Kluyveromyces lactis: one gene and its partners. The protein of the gene in region 2 interacts with the protein of the main gene of each other region in a biochemical or structural test. Links are inferred from orthologs where the notes say so. Each region holds a gene or a part of one and is shown on either strand. Other genes may lie near its edges. The genes, in order: RFA2, MEC1, DPB11, RAD53 and RAD55.

What was found.
Region 1: of the proteins of MEC1 (region 2) and RFA2, one has a biochemical effect on the other in vitro, tested with the Saccharomyces cerevisiae proteins (6 studies listed by BioGRID). The link is inferred for Kluyveromyces lactis from reciprocal best matches to the Saccharomyces cerevisiae genes MEC1 and RFA2.
Region 3: the proteins of MEC1 (region 2) and DPB11 form a complex in vitro, tested with the Saccharomyces cerevisiae proteins (3 studies listed by BioGRID, with this or other methods). The link is inferred for Kluyveromyces lactis from reciprocal best matches to the Saccharomyces cerevisiae genes MEC1 and DPB11.
Region 4: of the proteins of MEC1 (region 2) and RAD53, one has a biochemical effect on the other in vitro, tested with the Saccharomyces cerevisiae proteins (10 studies listed by BioGRID). The link is inferred for Kluyveromyces lactis from reciprocal best matches to the Saccharomyces cerevisiae genes MEC1 and RAD53.
Region 5: of the proteins of MEC1 (region 2) and RAD55, one has a biochemical effect on the other in vitro, tested with the Saccharomyces cerevisiae proteins (2 studies listed by BioGRID). The link is inferred for Kluyveromyces lactis from reciprocal best matches to the Saccharomyces cerevisiae genes MEC1 and RAD55.

Annotation. Positions count from the first base shown.
Region 1 is NC_006041.1:666,954-670,311, forward strand, and holds RFA2 (Rfa2p), read right to left. Parts: upstream 1,638-3,358; coding exon 954-1,637; downstream 1-953. Other genes in the region: GAS4 (1,3-beta-glucanosyltransferase), read right to left, coding at 1-588; KRI1 (Kri1p), read right to left, coding at 2,248-3,358. UniProt on the Saccharomyces cerevisiae protein: Binds to single-stranded sequences participating in DNA replication in addition to those mediating transcriptional repression (URS1) and activation (CAR1). Stimulates the activity of a cognate strand exchange protein (SEP1).
Region 2 is NC_006039.1:1,371,308-1,376,514, forward strand, and holds the start of MEC1 (protein kinase MEC1), read right to left. Parts: upstream 3,437-5,207; coding exon 1-3,436. Other genes in the region: cyclin-dependent protein kinase regulatory subunit CKS1, read right to left, coding at 3,845-4,243; HSL7 (protein arginine N-methyltransferase), read left to right, coding at 4,601-5,207. UniProt on the Saccharomyces cerevisiae protein: Serine/threonine protein kinase which activates checkpoint signaling upon genotoxic stresses such as ionizing radiation (IR), ultraviolet light (UV), or DNA replication stalling, thereby acting as a DNA damage sensor.
Region 3 is NC_006042.1:1,324,709-1,329,458, forward strand, and holds DPB11 (protein kinase activating protein DPB11), read right to left. Parts: upstream 3,164-4,750; coding exon 1,154-3,163; downstream 1-1,153. Other genes in the region: GWT1 (glucosaminyl-phosphotidylinositol O-acyltransferase), read right to left, coding at 1-848; SIP4 (Sip4p), read left to right, coding at 4,217-4,750. UniProt on the Saccharomyces cerevisiae protein: Has a role in the initiation of DNA replication. Required at S-phase checkpoint. Required for the association of PSF1 with origins. Also required for the proper activation of RAD53 in response to DNA damage and replication blocks.
Region 4 is NC_006042.1:1,025,386-1,030,551, forward strand, and holds RAD53 (serine/threonine/tyrosine protein kinase RAD53), read right to left. Parts: upstream 3,186-5,166; coding exon 744-3,185; downstream 1-743. Other genes in the region: DNA replication protein SLD5, read left to right, coding at 1-471; DGA1 (diacylglycerol O-acyltransferase), read left to right, coding at 4,774-5,166. UniProt on the Saccharomyces cerevisiae protein: Controls S-phase checkpoint as well as G1 and G2 DNA damage checkpoints. Phosphorylates proteins on serine, threonine, and tyrosine. Prevents entry into anaphase and mitotic exit after DNA damage via regulation of the Polo kinase CDC5.
Region 5 is NC_006041.1:116,847-120,781, forward strand, and holds RAD55 (putative DNA-dependent ATPase RAD55), read right to left. Parts: upstream 2,359-3,935; coding exon 1,117-2,358; downstream 1-1,116. Other genes in the region: RSM26 (mitochondrial 37S ribosomal protein mS42), read left to right, coding at 2,966-3,727. UniProt on the Saccharomyces cerevisiae protein: Required for radiation resistance and meiotic viability and presumably acts in recombination and recombinational DNA repair pathways.

The DNA of each region.
Region 1 (3,358 bases), on a different chromosome or scaffold from region 2:
CGAATATCCAACAGGAATTGCTCGAGGAGAGTGAGCTTTGATGTACCCCTTCATATCTCCCACCAACTGTTTAATATACGGTGGAGATCTCTGAGCAGACCTTTTGTCGTTGATTATTTCGTTTCCTGCAATAAAGCCTAACGTGTTATTATAAGGAATGAATTGTGCAATCAATTTGAAAACATGTTCTAAATAAATTGGATTATAAGTAGTCCAGGGTTCATATCGATTTAAGTGCTGATTTATTAAAGGTGAGTTCACGTCAAGGATTAGATATATTCCAGCACTTGCTAGCATTGTCATACATTTATCATGGTTTAGATCTGGATTTAACGAATAAACACGCACTGCATTGATTCCCAAATCCTGAAACAAAGGTATATCTCTTGCACAAACGGAAACATCTGATAAGGGATCCTTTTCATCTGTAACGTCACTAGATCCACCTGGTTGATAGTCAATACCTCTTATAAAGAATGGTTCATCTGTGACAGAATCATAAAAGTGTTTTCCTCGAATTTCTATGGGGTGTATATCAGCTAAAACAGAGGAGACAAAGAAAAGTACACCTATTATCAATCTATGCATTTTCTTGAATGTGTATGTTTATTTCTAAATTCTGTGTTGATTGTTGCAGGGATATCAGGCTTCACTGAGATTTCTGCATCTTGTATGATTGCAGATATGAATTTTTGTGTTTATATTTCTTATATTATAATCTGTCACTGACGCAGCCAATTACCAACATATATATGAAAAAATAGTAAATAAAATAACACATAGAATAACCGCGTCATCTTAATATAGCTAAGGTGACACAACGTAGTTCAGTACAGATGCCAATGATATATTTGGGATCATAACTGCTGATTCGTCGCCCAAAATGAAAGTACTTTTTTAAAATGATAATTATGATGTTGAAATCGAACTTATACACAAAAATATGTAAAAAATTATAAGATAAAGAAGGTGAACTCGTCGAAGGTAGGGTATATGTAACCTTGTTCTGTTAGAGTTTGACAATACATTCTGACATCATCTTCAATCATGTTCAAAGATTGAGAGATAAGTTTAGTCTGCACAGAGAAAGAGTTTGAATCCTTGCCAGCGCACTGGGCTCTGATAAAATCCAAAACTTTTTCAGTGGCTGATTTTGGAGGCTCGTTATCTTGTACAAATAAACTATTGGTTTCAGTATTAGCTCCGTTAACTGCCACCGTTGAGTCAACACTCAAGTTACCGTTAGCCACAGCAAATGCCTTAATTACCTCCAGGTGATGTGCTAGAATTTCATTGAATGAATCAATATGCTTTACTACAGCGTATTGTACATTCATCTTACCACTGAATTCTCTTAGAGAAGCGTATACCTTGATGTATTTCCCTACCGAGTAGTCTTGTGCTACTTGCGAGTTATAATCACCATTTTGGTCCTCTTGAGAGGCGTGCGACATATCATTGCTATCATTAGTCCATTTTCGGAATTCGATTTGCCCAGTCCCATCTTCAACTGTAAGAGTAACATTCGATGTATTATCAGCAACGTTTCTAATGACACCAACAAATGACACATGGTGAAGTTCTTGACCCATTATAACGTATGGTCCATCTTGAATTTGTTGCTTTGCGGATTGCATCTGTTTAATTGTCACAGGAGTCAAAGTGTTGGCATTTTGTCCACCGGAATTTGGTCTGGAAGATTGGCTTGGATCTGAGTTATCAAATCCACCAGCATTAATATTAGAATATTCATTATATGGATGATAAGCTGGATAAAGGAGGAGTGGTGATTAGTTTTATTGAAAGTGTTAGTAATGGGAACAAGACTGAACCTAAATAAATAGTTTCGGAAAAACATCGTAACGTACTGGTCATTGTGTCAGTTTTCTTTAGCTTCTGTTTATTGACTCCTTCTGCCGAAGATAACCCAGTTCTTGGTTATCCTCCATTGAATATCAGTTTTGCCATTCACAAAGCTCATATCCTCTCTTCAGAAGATTATGAATAAGTTACGCGTTTTCCCTTTCAAAGATTTGGTTCGTGTTTGGCAGGGTAATATAAATAAAGAATTAGTATGGCAGAAATCTTAGCACAGTATACAAGGACAAAGAATAATGCAAATATGTGGCAAGAAAGGATACTGTAACCAAGTTTAATTTCCTCTCGGCAGCAACATTAGGATGGAATTTGATGATTACAATAATATTTATATGTAAGTTAACTAAATAATGCTGAATAAGTTAATCTTTAATCTCTTCTCTTTCTCTTCTTATTCTTCAATCTTTCCTTTTCTTTAGAGGTTTGATGAGCTTCACCGTCGTTCAGAGGAATTGCTAATTCATCACCGGTGAGGCCTTCTTCGGTATTGAAAACTTTCTTTCTCCATTCCCTTAGTCGCCTGCTCTTAGTAACCTTTCTTCTATCCTTTGACGTCAGTTCTTTTGGTCTATATGGTGCAAACTTCTTCAAGCCGATAAACTCATTTAGATCGGCGTCATCAGCTGTGAATATTTCTCGCGTAGTCAATCCGAATGATTCTGGAGACACTTCACGGTATCTAAACTTAACTTCAGAATTTTTCTCTGTCGAACGTCCTCTTTCTTCTTCCACCTGCTCTATGATGTCTACCTTACGTTCGTCGACTGCTTTTTCTACCATCTCATGTAACTGCTTCTTATCTTTTTTTTTGTCTCTCTTCTCTTGTATCTTGTCCTTCTTTGATTTCTTCTTTTTTGGCTCTCCAGAGTCTGATGCCAAGGTCTCATCGTCTTCCGCATGATCCTCGGTTTCCTGTTCAGCATAAAACTCTCCCATGATATCGTCATTCTCATCCCATGTTGGTTTATCTTCCTGGTTGTAGAATTCGTCGTTAAAGATGGTACCGATGACTTCATCCCATTTCCCATCTTCGAAGTTTCCGTTTATTAAGGTATCGGTTAAGGCTTTGACATGCTCTTCTTTGATATCAGCACCATATTCTTTCTTTACTTGCTCTAAAACATCAGTAAGTTGGTTAACCTTTTCCTTCTTTTTCTTTTGGACTGCCTTTTGCTTCTCTTCTTCCTCTTTATCCTTAATAGCCTTTTCCTCATCTCTCTTTCTTCTACGAGATGAGGTTGCAGATCTTCTGAGTGTAGCTTGTGTACGTGCATAAGAAACAATTTCTGCAGCATTTGGATCCTCGTAACGGAAATTATAAGCATTTTCAAATTGCTCGACAGCATCGTCAAAGTCCTCATCTTCTTCGATGTCGGTACCACGACGGTCCAAATTAATCACTTTATCGCCTTTCTTTGGAATCCACGCCTGTTGGTTAACAAACTCCTCCAAAAACTTTTCGTCATCAACTTTTGGATTC
Region 2 (5,207 bases):
GGGCAAGATAGAGCGACGATAGTAATGGAAACAAAGTGGTCTTAGAGATATCATTAAACCTGGACCATAATTTAGCTTCTACAGGATAATCATCGGGTCTGTTAATATCCCAATTAACTGAACTGAGCCCACAATACTTCAGAGATTCTTGCATCACCAATGCAACGAATAGTTGTTTTGTGGGGTTTTCACTTTGCCAGAATGCGGGTACTAAAATGTTGTTTACAATACTGATTAAAAATTTGACTGTTTGGGAATGATTATTAAAGTCACAAATTTCTTCAGATAGATTAGTATTCCTGGGTAGAGCATGCTTGGTAACATCTAATAGTCCTATCAGGCTAATACATGATGCTGCTATTTGACAAATTTTGAGATCTCTATTTCTAAATTTGTAAGTGGAATCAAGCAATGCCCCCAATAACGTGGACAGGTGCGACGAATCGTCATGTTTTGTTACAACGTCGACATGTTTTCTGTGAATGGTTGTGCTGAAATACTTTTCCAACTCAAGCAGGGTTTGCAAAATGACATATCTATTGTTACTTCCGAGATTTTCTGTGAAAACCTTGAGCCAGTTGGTAGTTGAAATAACCTTCAAAACCTTACGAGCAACAGTGGGATGTCTCTCTAGGACCTGAAATTCTGGGTTATTTAAAAATGCGAGAAGTATGAATGGCCTTCCTTCAAGTACCAACTTTTGTCTATCTTTCAGCAACGTATCAAAAATCGCTTGGCATTCTAGCTTGCAAGAAGAACTAAATGTTGACCATTTCTGTAAGATCAAGCAGAACAGATCATTGATTATGGCTGTTATTTGCTCCTCATTCAAAAGTTTTATCAGCAAATGCCAGCATTCGAGTGTATTATGTTGGATTTCTGGTATCTCCGACCCTGTTTGTAAACATATACTCAGCTGAGCAAGTGCAGATATAATAGATTTCTTGGAAGCATATTTCATCAAAAAACTTATACCATTCAGTACTCGTAGTTTTTCATAATAAGAAGTTTTACCATCCGAATCATGCATATCATTCGAAAAAACTTGGAATATACCTAACACATTTTGCTCAAGTTTCTGCTGAAATTGTTCTTCCATTTCTTCGTTCCAATCTTCTATATTCTTAAATCTAGTGCCTCGTCTTTTATCTTTTGAGAAGTTTGTTATAAGAAGAAATCTTAATGAAGAGAGAACGCACCTTTCCGTTTCTGTAATTTGACCGTCTAATGTTAATATTTGTTTGCTCATCTTTAAAACTTCTGCTAATGTCTTGTAATCAGGCAAATATAAGGTAATATAATTCTTTCTAAATTTTGGCGCCGTATTTAGAAAAAGGGTTTGAATGGTTTCGATTGAAAAAAATCCATGTTTCACTAATGCTACTGCAAATATCTGTCTACTGTTCCTGTCTAAAAGCTTTAACTTCTTTTCCTCTACGAGAGATTTGTCATTACCGGACATGATACGAGCTACCTCAGTGATAACATCGCTCTTATATTGACCTAAAGCAGAAGGGACAACATATCTTTGAAAGTTCTCCAGTAGAGTCTTTGCAGGATAATCAACAAGTTGAACAATTCTCTGTAGACCTAGTTTCTTCTCAACCAAGCTTCTACCCATCTTTTTGAATAAAACAGGCAAAATTGGCGATAATAATTGGTACGGAGATTTCCCTTGAATTTTAGAGAGATACCGTAATTGTGCCGCCATCATTGTGTGCTCTGCGAAGTCACTCGAATTAAAAAGATCTATCAATTTCAAAAGCAAATCATCGAAGTATTCACTATTACAATTAATGATTAGGTTAATCCAACTCATATGTAAAGTTTCCGTCAAATATGGGGCCTTAGGCTTCTGAAGAAATATTATTAGGAATTTCAGGTTGATGTCTTCATACTTTGAGCCAAGGCTAGCAAAATAGGGAAGAAGGCGAACAGATAGAAGGCGTAAAAACCTTGATCTGCTATTAGATGCTCTTTGAAAGACCTGTAAACAACCGTAACCATCACTTTGTTGAATTAAGTCTGAAGTCTCTTCAAGTTTTGGAGGTTCAAATCGAGAAAATACTTCTATCAAAATAAGGACAACACCGGTGAGCATGGCTTCTGGCATATCTGTAATGGGTATGCTTTTTATAACGTGCTTGGCCAATAATTGAAATGCCAAAGACTTGTGCAATGGAACCAAGTTTAAAGATGATAGCCTCATATTTTGAGAGGCATTGAATTCCACCTGTGGAGATCTTACAAGATTGTTATTGACAAACTTTTCTTTTATAGCCAATTGTCTGATGGAATGCATCGAATGTGTCAATTTTGCGGTGTCACCATCCTTTATCGTGTTTAGTAATGATTCTTTCACCTTATCGTAGAAAGATCTTATATCAGCACTATCAGCTATACAATTTCGAACATTCCCAGAGACTAGACGTAGCTTCGGATTTTCTATGGCTTGATGAAGCCAATGCAATTGCTTATTAGAGAATGTAAACTCTTCCATCGATTCCAGGAACCCTAGTTTCACTGAAACGTATTTTATCGATCTAATAAACAGGGGATCAGCATTCTTATTCGTGTTGATCCATTCATGTAATTCGAATGTATTCTTGATCTCTGCCAACTTTGATTCGTCATGGATACAAAGGTACAAAGTCCGTAACAAAGTCTTGGCTAAAATGGTCGGAGAGATATGCTGATGATGATCTTTAATTAAAGTTTGTATGAGGTCAAACGAGAATCTGAATATTGACAATGACTCTTTAGATAAAGAGATGTAACGAACAAGTAATTGCAAGATGCTCGCAACTTCGACACTTGGTTCGTTAGTTGATTTCAAAACAAAGGCTAGCAATCGCATCAATTTCTGAAACTGACTTTGCCATCTTCTATAGCTGTAATTTCGAAGTAGTCCATCCCTCATAATCCAACCGTTCACTATCACTATTTTTTTCAAGAGGGAATGAAACGTCGGCTTCTCTAGCTTACCTCTCAGACATGTTACTAGTAACTTTTCATACTGAACCATTTGTTCAGTGAACCAAATCTGTAAATTGGAGGTCGATGCAAAAGAGTACGCTTTTAACCATGCACTCACGTATTTGTTTATAAGCCAAATATATTGCATATTGGACCAATGCATTAGCGAACAACTAACCATATTGTTTAAAATAACCTCGATCATAGTAATCTCTTTAACATTGGCTGAGAAAAGGTGTTGGTTGCATCGCAGAAATAAATCAAGTGCTTGAAAGGATTTGTGAAAGATCACCTCATCCGTATTCGTAGATTGCGTATTCTTCAACAATGTCTGTAGTAATTTCCCATTCTTTTCATCTAATTGCAAAGTGCTATCTAACTCTATACCATTTCCTACAGTTCCTGCTGATTTTAACGCCAGTATCAGTTCTTCCAGATATTTTACCCTAGGATTATCCATTTCCTATACGCTGAGAAGATATTACTCTTACACGGCAACTGCACTCTCAATCACACTCACCTAGGACGCCCTAACGAGAGAAAACTGTGTTTCTTTCATAGTCCAGCGTTTGTTTTTGGTTAGTTTCATTATTTATAATTTGACTTATATACAAATTTTGGTATCAATAAGGAATCTCAACACATACATAAATGTGGTATGTACATATGCTAAACACTTCTCCAGAAGTACAATTCAGGCGTCTTAAGCCATTTGCAAGTTTGACAACAGAAGACTAACTTACACAAAGTGTGCAGCCAGGAATTGCAGATCTTTGGGGAAACATTATTCTCTCTTATTAACAGTGTAACGCGTAAAACTGGAATACGATTTTCTTATTATTTCATTTTAAAGTCTTTAGTGGGTAGTTCATATATTTTGACTTTGTTGGCCTGCAGCAATTGATTTTTGCTGCTGCTGTGCGGCAGCATGCGCCGCACGTATTTCAGCCTCGTAATTCAGTGGTCTCTTAAATAGTAAAATATGTGGTTCAGGCGCATGGCATTCGTAATGTTCCCATCCCAGAGATTGTGTAATTCCTAACCCTCTCCATTCGTCTTCTGTTAAGATTCGCAAAGTACCAGTGTCTCCGTTGAAATAATCAGAAGGTATCACTTTTAGCATGGCCTTGGGAAGCATTACATGTCTGTATTCGTGTGTATCGTCGGAGTATCTTGGTGAATAATGAATGCTATCTTGAAATTCGAGAACTCTCGTTCTTTCCTGATCAGAAAGCTTTCTGCCTTGGAAAGCGTGCGTCGAATACATTGTTAGATTCGATCACAACTTAAGCTATACAATTGGAGTGTTAATTAACCCTAGACTACTGATGCTGGATCTTATTCGCTCATCACATATCATGTCTTTAGCATAACTGAAAAGATCTTAGGTATTAAAATAGTATTGTTTACAAAAAAAAAATGAAAATAAATATTGTTTAGGACAGAAACCAGATCCGTCACTATTGATGGTCAGAGATGAGGTAAAAGAATAGGACACAGAGCTATCACTGGTGTAGTGTCTACCATAATTACGGTATAGCTGAAGAAGGGTTTACCAATAAACGTTTGACTGTTGTTGTGAAACTGTTCTGCGTGCTGCGTTTGTGTGTTTGTATGTGCTGAAATGGCAAGTCGAAGTAATGTTTTCGTCGGGATCAAACCTCACAGTGAACATTCCGCTGATGTTCTTGGAACTTCTTCTACAGATAAAAGAGTAGAGAATTATGACTATGTGCTGCTGCCCTTGACAAATACCAGATACAAGGATGCCATGAAGGCCAAGTTTGAAGATTTTCGAGATCACGGTCATGGATGGAATGAAGAACTAAAGTTAGATCCTCCTCAATTGCAAGAGCTGGGGGTATTGCCATCTAATGGAAATGTTTCATATATTGGATTGGTCTCTTACTTTTTAGAGCTCGAGAGCCATGATGCTGATGTCCGGACTTTATCTTTGCAAGTGTTGGAGCACGAATTGCATTATGCAAATTTCGTTGGAATCAGACAGGTTATCTTAGCTCCTCCTAAAAAGTTACACACGCTTCATTACTACGCACAATCTTTGTGTACAGTATTTGATACTTTTAAAGAAGCGTGTCCGACAATATCTATTTCGTTACCTTTGTTTGAAGATTCAGATCCACTTTCGACTTGGGAACTGTGGAACACGATCAGGAAAATGTGCGGATACGAGCCTAAATTGACTGTATCTCTAGCTCTACCTAGACAGA
Region 3 (4,750 bases), on a different chromosome or scaffold from region 2:
ATAAAATCTATTCGTTCTGCATTTAACAAATAGTCCAGAAAGGTTGGATGGTATATCAGGCAAAGCTCGTAGATAATGGCTGCAATCAAACCTATAACAAATCTCAATCTCATGTTGTAGAAATCGAAAATAATCATTGCAAGGGGTAGTAATGAAAGGGTAAAGAAGAAGTTCCAATGGATACCATATTCGGTTGCATGTTCTTGATAGTTTACAGCCTTAACGGAAAACAAACGAATGAAACCCAATACCACTAGTACCACCGTCGACCTTAATGATTGTTTAATTTTAGCCCATTTGGATAATTCAGTTCCAGATTTTAATCTTTTGTAACTTATAATACCATTGCTGAATACAAACGATCCAACACCTAGATCCATCAATGAAATGCCCCAGGTTTCTACCTTGGCATATTTCCTAGGAAAGATAGGGAAATCTACAGCCAATATGGCAATGGAAGTTAAGATCAGCATTGTACTCCTATACACTGTGAGGGTTGCTGACTGGTTGCCATTGTCCATTACAGTTTCTTTAATCGTTTCGCGTTTACTTCCCTTAGATATACATCCAAATAATAGCACCGCACTTAAACCTAATATACCTGTAAGAAATGGGTTTTCCCCAAATACAGTAACACTACAGAGGAGACCCATCCAATTCAATAAGAAATCTAACCAGAAGGAGTCCCGGTAGCTGGGATTGTTCGAAACGACGTAGATCCAAGCGGCGTTAGAAAAAATACCGGCTAATGTGACATCTCGTAAATCTGCAATTGAACTTCCGGAGTGTCCGGTAACGAAAGCTTCCTTCCGGTGTTTCAATTCATCAATTACACCAGAAGCATCCATGGTCTGATATCCCCGAGCCTGTATACGTTTCTTGTACTTACTTCCTTTATTGAACCTTCATTGATCTAGAGCTTAATAAACAGGTAGAATGACACTTGTCAATATTTTCACTTTTAAAGGAAGCATGCACAGAAGAGTAAATCTGGAATATAGGTTCAGACACGTAAAAATGACACACATTTAGGAGTTAGAGGCACTTCTAAGCAGAATAAGAATGTTAATGATCTTGTTACAGATAATATCCGAATGGATATGTATACATATATACATACATATATATGGCGTGACGTAATAATACATGAGATTTATGAAACATGAGAAATGATGTCTTTAGCTTGGCTTCTGGTAGAAATCTTCCTTCTTTTCAAATTCTGCTGCACAGATGTCGACGTTGATGCTGATCCGTACGTGATCTGAGTATGCGAAAGATGGTCACTATCATGACCTACAGTTTGGATAAAGCTTGATTCCTCATTCTCTGTATCTACATTATTTGAAAGAAGTTTCCCCCAACGGTTCCCTCTATTTGGAACATGAGGTAGTTCTGCTGATGCAGAAGAGGCAGTTGACAGAGGTGCCGCAATATCAACAGGAGCGGGTTTCTCTAGCAAAGGATCCTCGTTTCCTCTTTCCTTTGGAATTATTTGTAGTGCAAAGTCAGATTTAGAACCCTTGGGACAAGAAATACACCAATTAACGTCATTAAAGTAGATGTTCATGGAAGTCTTATTAGGTTTCATTGCTCTTTGGAAGAGTTCAATGACAAAACTTGGAGTTAGGATGGGAATATGATGAGCTTGCTTAACGAATTCAATTTTCCGTTTCATTGAATTTCTAAACATTTGAGCTTGATTTACAGAGATCTTCATATCCAAATCTGTCCTGAACATTGACGCGTACTTATTTTGCCTTAAAGTATGTTCCTGTGGTATTGAAGTCAATTGGGAGATGTTAACGAGTAAGAAATCCGTCTTCTTCGTCAATTTCTCATGATGGTCAAAACCAATCAACTTCAAAAAGTCTATAATTTTATTGATGTGTAGTAATTCCACGCCATGGAACCCTGTGATATGGAAGGAAAGTTTAGGGCCATGTAACACCGATTTAGGTGGAATGATATTGAAATCGTTGTAGAAAGGTTTTGACCAAAAATCCGGAGGTAGGAGTTGTTCGTAATACAAACATCGTTCGATGAAGAATTCTGTCAACCACGATGATTCATTTGGGATTCTCGGCAGTAGATTTGCCGGAAATCCACTTGGACAGATATAATAAATGGTCTTATCCTTCAGCTGTGCCGGTGACGGTGATGTATCCTCGAAGAGGGAAGACGTTCCTTTATTACCGCGAATGACATTAGATAAGATAGTAACCTGTCTTTTTTCGAACTTGAATAGCACGAAGTGACAGTCCAGGAAGGTCGGTGTATCCTTTGTCTCACCAAGGCATTCTTGATGCGTTGGGGTGGCTTCCTTAATATCAGTGGACTTTGACGCTGAAGCATCACCATCTCTTGCCAATAGTTTCCCCCATATCTGATTCGCTTGAGGCTTAAATTTATCTATAGCAATCTTCAACGGATTCACCGAATCATCTTGTACACCCATGGGATTTGGTTCAGTTACAGATTTTTTCTTATCTGGAACGTCACGAATGTACGAACCAGAACCAATGTCAGAGTATTCAAGTTCATGACAATTTTTCAACAGGTAGAAAGATTGAAAGTCTAGAGTCCCTGATCTGTCCATACAATCAATGATCCATTTTGGATGCACTACGGGAACGTTCTCTTCTAAAGCAGCCTGGACACGGTTCCCCGATAAATCATCGGTAATAAACAACGAAATGCATGCATTGGATGACGAAGAGTTCCTAATGAAATGCGTGGTATCTACCGATTTCACTTTACCCAATTTACACAACTGAACCAACGACTCAAGAGAATAATGGTTATTAGGTCGTATTCTGCCAATGAACAAGTTAAATTTTTCAAACGACCCGATAGAGTACTTCGATTTTAAGTACTGGGACATATCGAATTTAGCCAACTGCAACAGATCTTCTCCTGCGAGCCACGCATCGTACAACTGATCAACGGATCCCGGACTAACAAACACGATATCAGTTCTATTCTTGACAGCAAAGTTATACTTTGCGGTGAATAACTCTCCAACAACCAATACGTTGACTAGTCTTGTCAAATCCTTGGTATAAGTCCCACCGAGTTTTGTCACTTTATGTGAGATGGTATCAGAAACCGACAACGGGAGAGACGTAGGACAGAACACCAGTCCTTGAAATGGTTTGCCGGACATGTTTGCTCTACTTCAGGGAGAATTGAGGAAGAAGAAGAAGAAGAAGAAGAAGCTATCTACACCTTTGTTCCAGCTTTTTAGACACATCATCACCATTCATATGTGAAGGAAGGAAGGATGGATTGGATATCTGTGTAAATACGCGTTTATGTGTGGAAAATAATAAACAGAGAAGAGTTGTAAAATGACATTTGTTTACAGGTCACGTGGACGAAAAACACAAGCTACCCAGGGTTACCCTGAGAAAACGAAAACCAAAACCAAAAATTAAACACTAACCACGTGACTACAGCGAATCTCCCCCTTCCGGCGCCCCCCCCGTCGAGTCATCATCCTTGTCAGCAACCGTCCAGCTGACTCATATATCTGTCACATGTGAAATTGCAAGAAGCAGGCAAACATCGCCACCCATACACCATTCGGACTTGTGACTTCTCCCCGTTAGCCTTTCATCCGGACAAATCCTTTCAGGTCCTTACTCTCCCTACGATAAACCGATATAACTGCACAAATTTTTTTGCTGACTACACGGAAAACCGCGCCTAGAACCGCTTTTTTTGTCCCCAAAACTTCCTTTCCCCAGATCCGGCTGAAAGGGACAATTGCAAAACTGGAATTACACACTACTAACGCATATTAATTAGCCCTCTTATATAGTCTATAGCATACCGAATACTGAATAATATGTCCAACGTCACTTGTGGAAATGTCACAAATGTCAGTTTCTGGGATCCATCAATTAAGGGAAATTCTTCAAACGTCCCAGCTATCTCGGTTATCTCATTGGTTTATTCTCTTGGCTTGTTAAAAGGTAGTTTCTTCTTGCCTTAGTTTCTTGAATTAGATTTCTCGAGGGTTTTTATAGCCAAATATTATTATTATTATTCATGATTCTGAATCAGATATATAAGACAAACGGACCTGGGGAAACGTTCTGCCATATAACCATGAACCGGAAGGTTTATGGTAGGTATCAGATGTTTTTTTTTCTGTTTGGAACGTAAGCTTGCTATAAGCTTCCTGTAGTAGCGCCAAGTATATGTATATATCACTATGCCAAGTGTTTCGCAGGATGATGTAAAGGGCGTGCTTGCTGGTAAGATGTCTACTGGTAATAGCAGTGATGACAGTAGCAGTCAGTCAGGTAAGAAGCGTAAATATGGGAAAGTCGACAAACACAATGAGAAGAAATTGTTGATGCCTACGGCATCAACAAAAGTGAAACGGTTTTCACAGGCATGTGATAGATGTAGGCTTAAGAAGATTAAATGTGACGGTATCAAGCCTAGTTGTTCCAATTGTAAGAAGATAGGGTACCATTGTTCGACTAGTGATAAGCTTACAAGACGCGGGTTCCCTAGGGGTTACACGGAGATGTTGGAGAACGAGGTGATTAAGTTGCAGCGGCTTTGTGGGATGGTGGACGAGAACGGTGAGACCGTGATTGATGGTGCAGTAGCTGCCGTGGCAGCTACTGCACAGACGGGTGTTATTCCTGCTGGCCAGGAATTCCTTAACTCTGTGGGGGAAATGGGAACAAAGTCTTCTGTTTCGGTTCCTCCAGCGGCATCGGCAGCGCCAGTACCG
Region 4 (5,166 bases), on a different chromosome or scaffold from region 2:
CGATCTTTCATCAGATGCCGGTTAAGCAAAATTGACAAATACAGCATTTACCTAAGACAACAATCCGAACTACCCAATAATGCGGGCCTCAGCAGACTAGATTTATTGATGTCCAAAGAAGAGGTGAAGTACCATATGAAGCATTCTGACATATTACTAAAACTGTTTAACAACGCAGTACTTAAGCACTTACCAGAAGAACTGCAAGCCGTTAACGATACTGAGGGTTCCATCAGTATGATTGATGAACCCGATTGGAATAAAACTGTATTTATACTAGTTTGTGGTGGGGTAGTTGACGAAAGTGGTATTGATTCGAAATTAACGACCGATGATGATGGAAAACACTGTTACTCAGTGATTATTGAAGATTTAAATGAAGAAATTTACTTATTAATCGGGGCAGTATACGTAATACGTTATAGTGTAATACGAGATCTCATGACTGAGGGACGAGTAGTTTTAATATAATGAAAATTCTGAACAGTATTACTGAACCTATGACTCTTCGAAAAATATAGGTTTGTAACGAATGTTTGCCAGCAATAATTTCTCAACAATGTTATTGCGAACACAGCATGTTTTCTACCTAGTGTTATTGACTGCTGGTCTATAGTGCTTTTGAACCAATTTGTATTAGTATTACATCAATTAACGTTGAAAAGTCTATCTAGCATACTCAAAGTGTACCTATTTTTCATATTTACTGTATGCAAAACCCATCCGGCAAGCATATGATCAGCTCAGAGAAATCCTTCAATATCTGGTTTCTGGGCTTGGGCAAGCTTAGCCCTTTTGGTTGTCTGCGGTTGAGATTGAGATAACGACACTGAATGTATTCTTTTCAATCCTGTAGTCGAGTTCATCTCAACGACAGAATCTAATTCCTCGATATTTTGCGAGTTGGCATCTATGTTACTGGAAGAGGACTGGTTTATATTAGATTTGGCATGTTGTGATGATCTAGACTTCATAAATTCCATAAACTTAGGGACTAAAGCTAACTCCTCCTGTGTCTGTTTATGTAGAAGTGTCTTGTTTGTTTTCTCATTGGTATCCAGCTTCCCCTCGTGGAACAAACCAGTGGTATCATTGAACTCAAGCTGGAAAGAAACAGTGACATCATTGATTTTATCCCATATAATTTGGATTTCATCGCCATCATGAAGTAAGATCTTTGTGCCCGGAGTGATTTTCTTTCCATTAACATAGCTTGAGTTAGTACCACTTTGGCAATACCATACATCATCAAGACCTTGAGCTGGAGATTCATAAATACTGTCACCGACAGCGTGTCTTTTCTTCAATATGAAGCAATGTATCCTAGATAAACGATTATCATCAATTTTACAGTTGCATTCGTCTGACCTACCGATGAAGAATGGATTTATCCCTTGTTTTACTTGGACCTTACCTGAAATAGATGAGCCAGGTAAGGAATGCAAAGTGAGAAATAGCCCCTCCCCATTGACCTTTGTAAGTGGTCTATTGATCTTTTTGTTCTTATTGTTTGAAAGTCCTTCTTCACCAGATTTATAATTAACATTAATAGCTTTACCAGTATTAGGATTTGAAAAGTTAAACTGCAAGTTTTGGGATTGTGCAATTTTAGATGGTGCAATTTGTGGTTTTTTGAATACAGGCTCTTTATTAGTTTCTGCAGCAGGCGCCGTTATTTCTTTCTTGATAATCTCTAACCTCTTTTTCGCAATGTATGATTCGTATTCAGCCTCATTCATACTGTCAACAAATTGTTGCTGGGACAAGGATTGTGAGATGGATATTTGTGACTGCATGCTATCAACGTATGCCATTTTCATCCATGGATGTTGCAGGGCCTTTCCTGCGTTCATTCTTTCTTTAGGGTCCACATTCAACAGGCAATCTATGAAGTTTCTTGCCTCTTCGGATATTCTATAATCCTTTAATGGTCCTTCATGATAAGAGCCCCGTTTTATTTGCTTGAACAATTCATTCTGAGACTGACCACTAAAAGGCAAGTGACCTGTAAGAATAACGTAAACTAGGCATCCAATTGACCACATATCAACAAGTGAGGAATACAGATCTCGATTAGTTTTATCTTCAGCATTTTTCCCGTCTATAACTTCAGGTGCAACATATGCTAGAGTACCACAAAAAGTGTTCAGGAATGTATTCTGATTTTGTACTTTTGCCAGGCCAAAATCGGTTATCTTTATAAGAACTGGATCGTCTTGCTCTATCATTATATTATCAGGTTTCAAGTCTCGATGGCTAATTCCTTGATCATGCATGTATTTTACTGCCTCTAAAACCTGTCGTGTTATCTCTCTGCCGGCATCCTCGCCTACAGTTCCATGGGCTGCTACGAAATCCATTAAATCGCCTCCGCTGACAAACTCCATCAACATGTAATAATTATCATTGTCTTCAAAAAAGTCCTTAAGTTTAACTATCCTGGGGTGATTTAATTTCTGCAATACATCTAGTTCCCTCTTCACTCCATCAAATTTATCCATTACTTTTCTCTTATGAATTATTTTGACCGCAAATGTTTTGCCTGTTGACCTTTCGACAGCTTTCTTCACAGTAGCGAAAGCACCTTGACCAACAATCGAATCTGATATCGAATAGTATTTGTGTATTCCTTTTAATTCTGTATGTCCCATTGATATCTGATATTTGCTCTTTGAAGATGAAGCAGGTGAAGTCACATCCTTCATCATATTGAGTTCTTTTAGTCTATTTTTGAAACTATCGTTGATGAAAATCACTAAACTAACGACATCGCTGGGAACGCCGACTCCAACACTTATTTCATCCCCTTGGGTCAAGATGTGATTCGTATCCTTTTGTATCCTCGCTCCATTTAACCATGTTCCATTGGTTGATGTATCCTTCAGCATTAAAGTTCCTTCTTCACCCAGCATTAGCATAAAGTGTCTGTTGGACAGTCTTGAAATATCCCCCAGATAATAATCACATCCTTGGTTTCTTCCAAAGGTCCATGTTTTTTTAATTGATGATTCCTTTTTGAATATACTTTCAGGTTGAACCTTCAAGTCCCGTAGACTTATTTGACCAGTTGTACATATTACTCTGCACACCACATCGTCGTCTATTTTCTCCTGAGAAAACTTATCTATTAGGTACTTCTGTGTAGCCTGAGTGGCTTGTTGTGTCGGTTGCGTTATATCATCCATGTCAATATCTTCGTTTGCACAGCAATGATCAGTTGATCTCTAAAGAGGCTGGGAAAGGTAACGGCAAACCTCAAAGGGACAACTTAATGCCTCAATATAGAACGATTTTCACAAGTGTGCTATTCTATAGTCGGTTGTGACTGTGTATACCCACTAAACTGCCAACACAAAGCTAATGAATAATGGAATAAATCGTTCTTTCATAATGTGTATGATCGCTTTTGCAATTCAAAGATCCAGATTATTTCAGAAAAATGTCAACCTTTAAATCGCGTAAATATTCGATGAACATTAAATATTACAATGACGCGTAAAAGTACATACATATATACAAAGCCAATGATCAAAGATGGATCAGTCTTTACTCGGCACTGCTACAACGTTGGAGTGGGAATTTGAGTAAATAGAACGGAATCATTGATAGAAGTTCTATTATGGCACATTGCGGCATCAGGTGATTGGTGCCGAATCTTCTTCAGAACTATGTGAAGCCGGTTTATACTGCAACAATCCATATGGCATCAATTAGTAAATACCATGGTTGAATAACTTGTATCAGCTGTTTCTTATTCTAACTCCAGTCATGCTACAAAGACTTTAAAATCTTTACTTATCAATAGATGGAAGTAAAGATTATAAATCGATATGGTTGCTATCAAGCATAACACTCCGAATTTTCAGAAATTCTTTGCATTTTGCTCATATAACGTTATTGTATTTGAACTGTTAGAGCCTTTTCTTGAAAAAACTAGGTTCTATTCATGTTTAAAACATTCGTTAAGACAATTCCCCATAACCGATTGAAGAAATGATATATATAAGTTTTCGTTTTATTAATACTGCAATAATGTCCTTCAACGAGATAGCTATGTAGTAAAATTATATATCAGCTTTGATCTACTGGTGAAGGTTCAAATCATACCGTCAACTTTAACCGTAATGTTACGGTAAATAACAAAATCGTAAATTATTAATCTCACATACCTCCATAACGTTATGTTAAGTTTCTTACCATTCTATCTGCTAATTAAATGACCTGTTCCCAGAATCAGGACTGGATAAAAAGTCTACTACATCCGTTAGTTTTTCCCAAGGAAACCCTTTAAATACAAGAGCCGGGCTCAGTAGTCTTTCGCGTCAGATTTTGAAGTCTATTTATATTTACTACTAGTTCATAAATTGGACATTGTATAGGAAAGATGCATTCCTCTACATAATATTTTTGTTAAATTAACTACCCATCATTACTTCCCTAAAACCATGTAAACTGATAGGTATGGTGCATACCAGTACAATTGGCAACAGCTTGCAACGTTAAGATTCAGTGATCTCAATTAAATTACGATTTTGACAGTTTTATTTTAAGGGAAAAAGTTGCTTTAAAACAGGAAAACGACATCAGGCAATGTTTTGCCTCAGTAAACAAAGATACAATTAATCGACAAAAGCTGGGCAGGTTCATTTTTTGTTGAACTTGAACGTCTAATATCATTTACTTCTGAGAATAGACGTAAATATCAGCTTATCTGTTTTACTTTGAGAAGGTTCGCTGCTAGGTAATTAAAGTTACTTCGAGGCTTGGAACAAGATGGGTAAGGAACAAATCAGAAAGAGACAAACTAAAAAGGTACGCAAGGGTTCACAACCCGTGGCAAATGGTAAATCTTCTGTAGTAGGGGTCTCCAAAGATGGGAAACCAGAATTTTGTGCTATTGATACGCCCATAGAAAGGAGACTTCAAACTCTCAGCGTAGCATGGTATGTCGAATGTATTCCGTTAATGATCATCATAATGTTGTTTGTTTGGGTTAACCCGTTGATGTGGTCGTTTGTAATACCATACACCATTTATTATTTCATAGACCGGACTGCCTCCAATGGGAACGCTGTGAAGAGACACTCCAAGTGGTTCCGATCTCTAAAGGTCTGGTTTTATTTCCGTGATTACTTCCCTATAAGTATGCACAAAAGCACTGAACTC
Region 5 (3,935 bases), on a different chromosome or scaffold from region 2:
TAAGTTTTCTTGCTTATCTAGAAGATACAATAGTGAATCCTGATGTTACAGCTATAACAATACAGATTATTCAACAGGAAAAAAAAGTGGAAGAAGGGATATATTATTCTAAAACTCTTGAAACAAACCAATGCCTTATATACTTTTCAGTCGGCCCACTCATATCGCTATTCTTATCCCCTTGCTTTCTTCACCTGGCAATTTATTTTAGTCACAAGATCTACGCAATTTTTTCCCTCTCCATTGCAGCACTGTCATACCAAAAAAAAAAGATGAACATGACAATAATAGAAACAATCTTTGTCACAACAAATATCCACTTTAGTCCAATTAAGTAAAATCGAGAATAGTAAACAAAAAATGGAGTTGTACGCAGATACAGCAGAAACCCTCAAAATAGAAGCCGTCATCCCTCAAATGGCTCTTCCCAAACAATAAGCAAAATCTAATTATCCAGTCATTTCTTCCTGTTTCTGCGTAATTCCATACCCGCATTCGGTTTGGCCATATTAAAATGGAAGCCGGCTATTTTACAAACAACACCTACAAGGACATATGTTGCTTATACAATGGAGCTAAGTGGGCCGATCACAGATTGCTCCACCTCAGAACCTTCATTGACACTTTATGACAGGTTGGAACGGCTGAAACATGTAAAAAACAAGATTAGCTTGTTAAATTCATATCTGTAAACCTAGCAGTAACAATAAAAGCAAAACAAACAAATTTTTCCTATTTGAATTCCAATAATAGAAAAGTTAGTGGATTCAAGGTTCAAGAGCTCTTAAAACCGGCCAATGAAAACCGTCCCATGTCGATTACTAAAGTTGGCATAGATCACGTCAGATCTATTTTGATGCCCTTTGGGGATCTCTCGAAGGAGAAAATGGAAAAAAAAGACACATGCACCCATACACCACATCATTAGTAATTTCCATGATCTCTCTTTTGGTTTCCGTGGAGATTCCTGGAAAAGCGTCCGATGACGAATGTGAGATATATTGGGCACCACTCGTGACCGTATCTAAGGAGGAAGGGCGCAATTCTTAGTTGCATATTTTATTCACTTAAAAGTGACAAAATTAGGTCGGCTTCCTGTTTGTAATGTGTTCCGTTCTATCCTTCACTATCATATATGATAGCGTCGTTGTCAGTGCCTTCAGTTCCATGAGTTGCCACAATGTTGTCTGAATGAACGATTCGTGGTGTAAACTGGATTGATTGCGAAGAGTTTGGTGTTACGGGCTGACTGTGACTTTGAACATCTAATAGCATACGGCTCGGACTTGGCTCCGTGTATAAAACCCGTCTTCTCTTGTTTGGGGGAAGCACCGGTGCTGCGGCTACTGCAGCAGCAGCAGCTGTCGCACTTGAGGAAGTGTTCGTAGGAAGAAGATTGTCAGTGACAGCAGTTGTTGGGTTTTCTGCGACTATAGTTGTGTGACAGCTATAAAAGTTCCCAGATTCATTAGTCTTAACCCAAACCAGTTTATTCTTCGAGCCCACTGGCTGTTGATGTTGTACAACAAACTGCCGTGATACCTCGGGGATGATTCTTTTCTGGGAGTTAGGATTCTGCTTTTGTTCTGCATCCCAATTCCAGAACACACCGATCCTGCATCGAAGAAACACCTCCCAACGGGCATCTTTACTTCCAACGGCTGCATTTGCTACTAATCCACTCTTCAACACTTGCACGTGACGTTTCCGTTGAGATTTCACGAGGAAATTGCTAAAGGAACCATCTGAGTGGGTTCCGTTGCTGGGATCGTTGTATGAGACAACTGCATCGTCTGAATAGTCCTGGTAACCTGTGTTCATAGCGTCATTAAGTAATACCACCACCGTATTGTTTGAAGTGGCGTATTTAGTTATGGTGACAAGCAATTGTATCAAACTTTTCACCTTGAAATCGTGCAAGGTCTGTCGATGGTTAGAATATCCACTGTTCTTCTCGTACATATGGAGATACTCTACCAAAAGCTGAGATAAACCATCGATTATTATGAGCCCGTACGTCTCTTTTAAATTCTGAAACATGTACCACAGTTGAGCAAATTTCTTCACTCTTGCGAATTGGCACCCTTTGAAATGGACTTCGTCCTCATCTCCTTGCTCTATAAGCTTCAGTGGTACTTGCTGGAACGTGTCAATCCACAGACATTTCATCCTATTCTGATTATTGTTCACTAATTGTACCGCGAACTTTGTCTTGCCAATTCCTGGAGGTCCGTAAACCTCGTAGATACTCTGTGGTTGGAATCCGTCATTCAATGAATCGTCTAAACTCTCAATGCCACTTCGTACATGATCTGCACGCGCTTGTATCAGTTGAGACAAAGGTACACCAAATGACATTAGAATGCTATCAACTAATCACCAAACGCGTCCACAGTTTCTCCTGGTTCTTCAAGCCTTTCAAGACTATGTATAACTAGCCTTTTAAATCCGCATAATTCACCTTTAGGTGTAACTAAAAAATGTCATCAAGTCCGTAGACAACTCAGCTCAATAATGTTTGTTTTATTTACCAGGTTTTTGCTGTGATTATGTTATTCAAAAATATAAAATAAGAAAAGATAAGAGGGAGTAATAATACTTGAATTTAATCATTGAAAGAATTGAAATTAAAAACTCGAAGGTTCTTCCCACGAATCTCCTTGTCTACCTCTTGTCGGATTATATCCTACGGGTGTATCTTATTTGGACTTTATTGATTATTAGTCTAGTTCATTAAGCTAGAGAAGATAATGAGTTCCGGGTAACATTTCAAATCTTAAAATTTTTCTTAGCATTCAACATTGCCGAACAGGAAAAATTGAAATCATTTCGACTTGTATCAATTCATGAATCTAAAATGCATAACTAGAAAGTCTACTATTTCTTGCTCAATGCATCCTATTTACATTCTTCCTAGAGTTTCGGAACGATTGATATAATTGAGGCAACTAACTAAAAATATTTAATGTCAATGTTTGGGCGTCAACTGTTCAGAGGAATACACACAGTTCCAAAGATACCTGGTATTTCACAACTTTTGGATTCAGGCATCCCTCATGTTATGAGCGCTAACACATTCAAAACTTGCTGGGTTGACCAGCAGCAGCTTTTGTGCGATAAGCTAACACTGGCATCTGCAGGAACTGCCGCAGAATCCTACTTGCCATTCCATTTAGTACTGCACACTGCGAAGAAATCATACCAAACAAACATTTTCAATTTGGCTAGTGCTTTGCACAATAACCATTTGTTCATAGAAAACATATTGCCTATGGAACAAGTTACACATCCATCTCGTGAGTTTCTACAGAAGCTAGAATCACAATATTCAATGACTTGGGATGCTTTTAAGGATGAAATGGTTAGACATGCAGAAGAAGATGTGTTAGGTCAAGGATGGCTATTCCTTGTGGAAAATGATGCCAAGGAACTTCACATCCTAACAGTTCAAAATAATGGTACTCCATACTACTTTGCTAGAAACCAATCTTTCGATTTGAACAGTGCTCTATCCTTAGAAGAAATGGAACAGTTTGTAACGATGAGAGATCTACTTGCCGCAAATGCAGACGTTAAAGATTGGACAATGCCTTTGATTGCGATCAGTTTGTGGGACCATTCATACTTGAATGATTACGGTATTAAGGGCAGATCCACTTACGTAAGGAAGTGTTTAGATAACTTGAACTGGTCTGCGGTTAACAACAGATTGTTCTCCACACAATAGGAGTATACCAGTACTTCCAATCATAAATAGACTGTTGGCTCTCTTTAAAATATGGGTCTTAATTACATGTACATAGTCACAAATGCAATATAACCGTTTGCGAATAGCTCACAATCCTCTCTCATTATTAGCGTATCTCTGGTTGATATAGGCAAGAGCGGATAAGGTACGGAAAACGGTATTCAACTAAAACTTCAACATCAAGTAT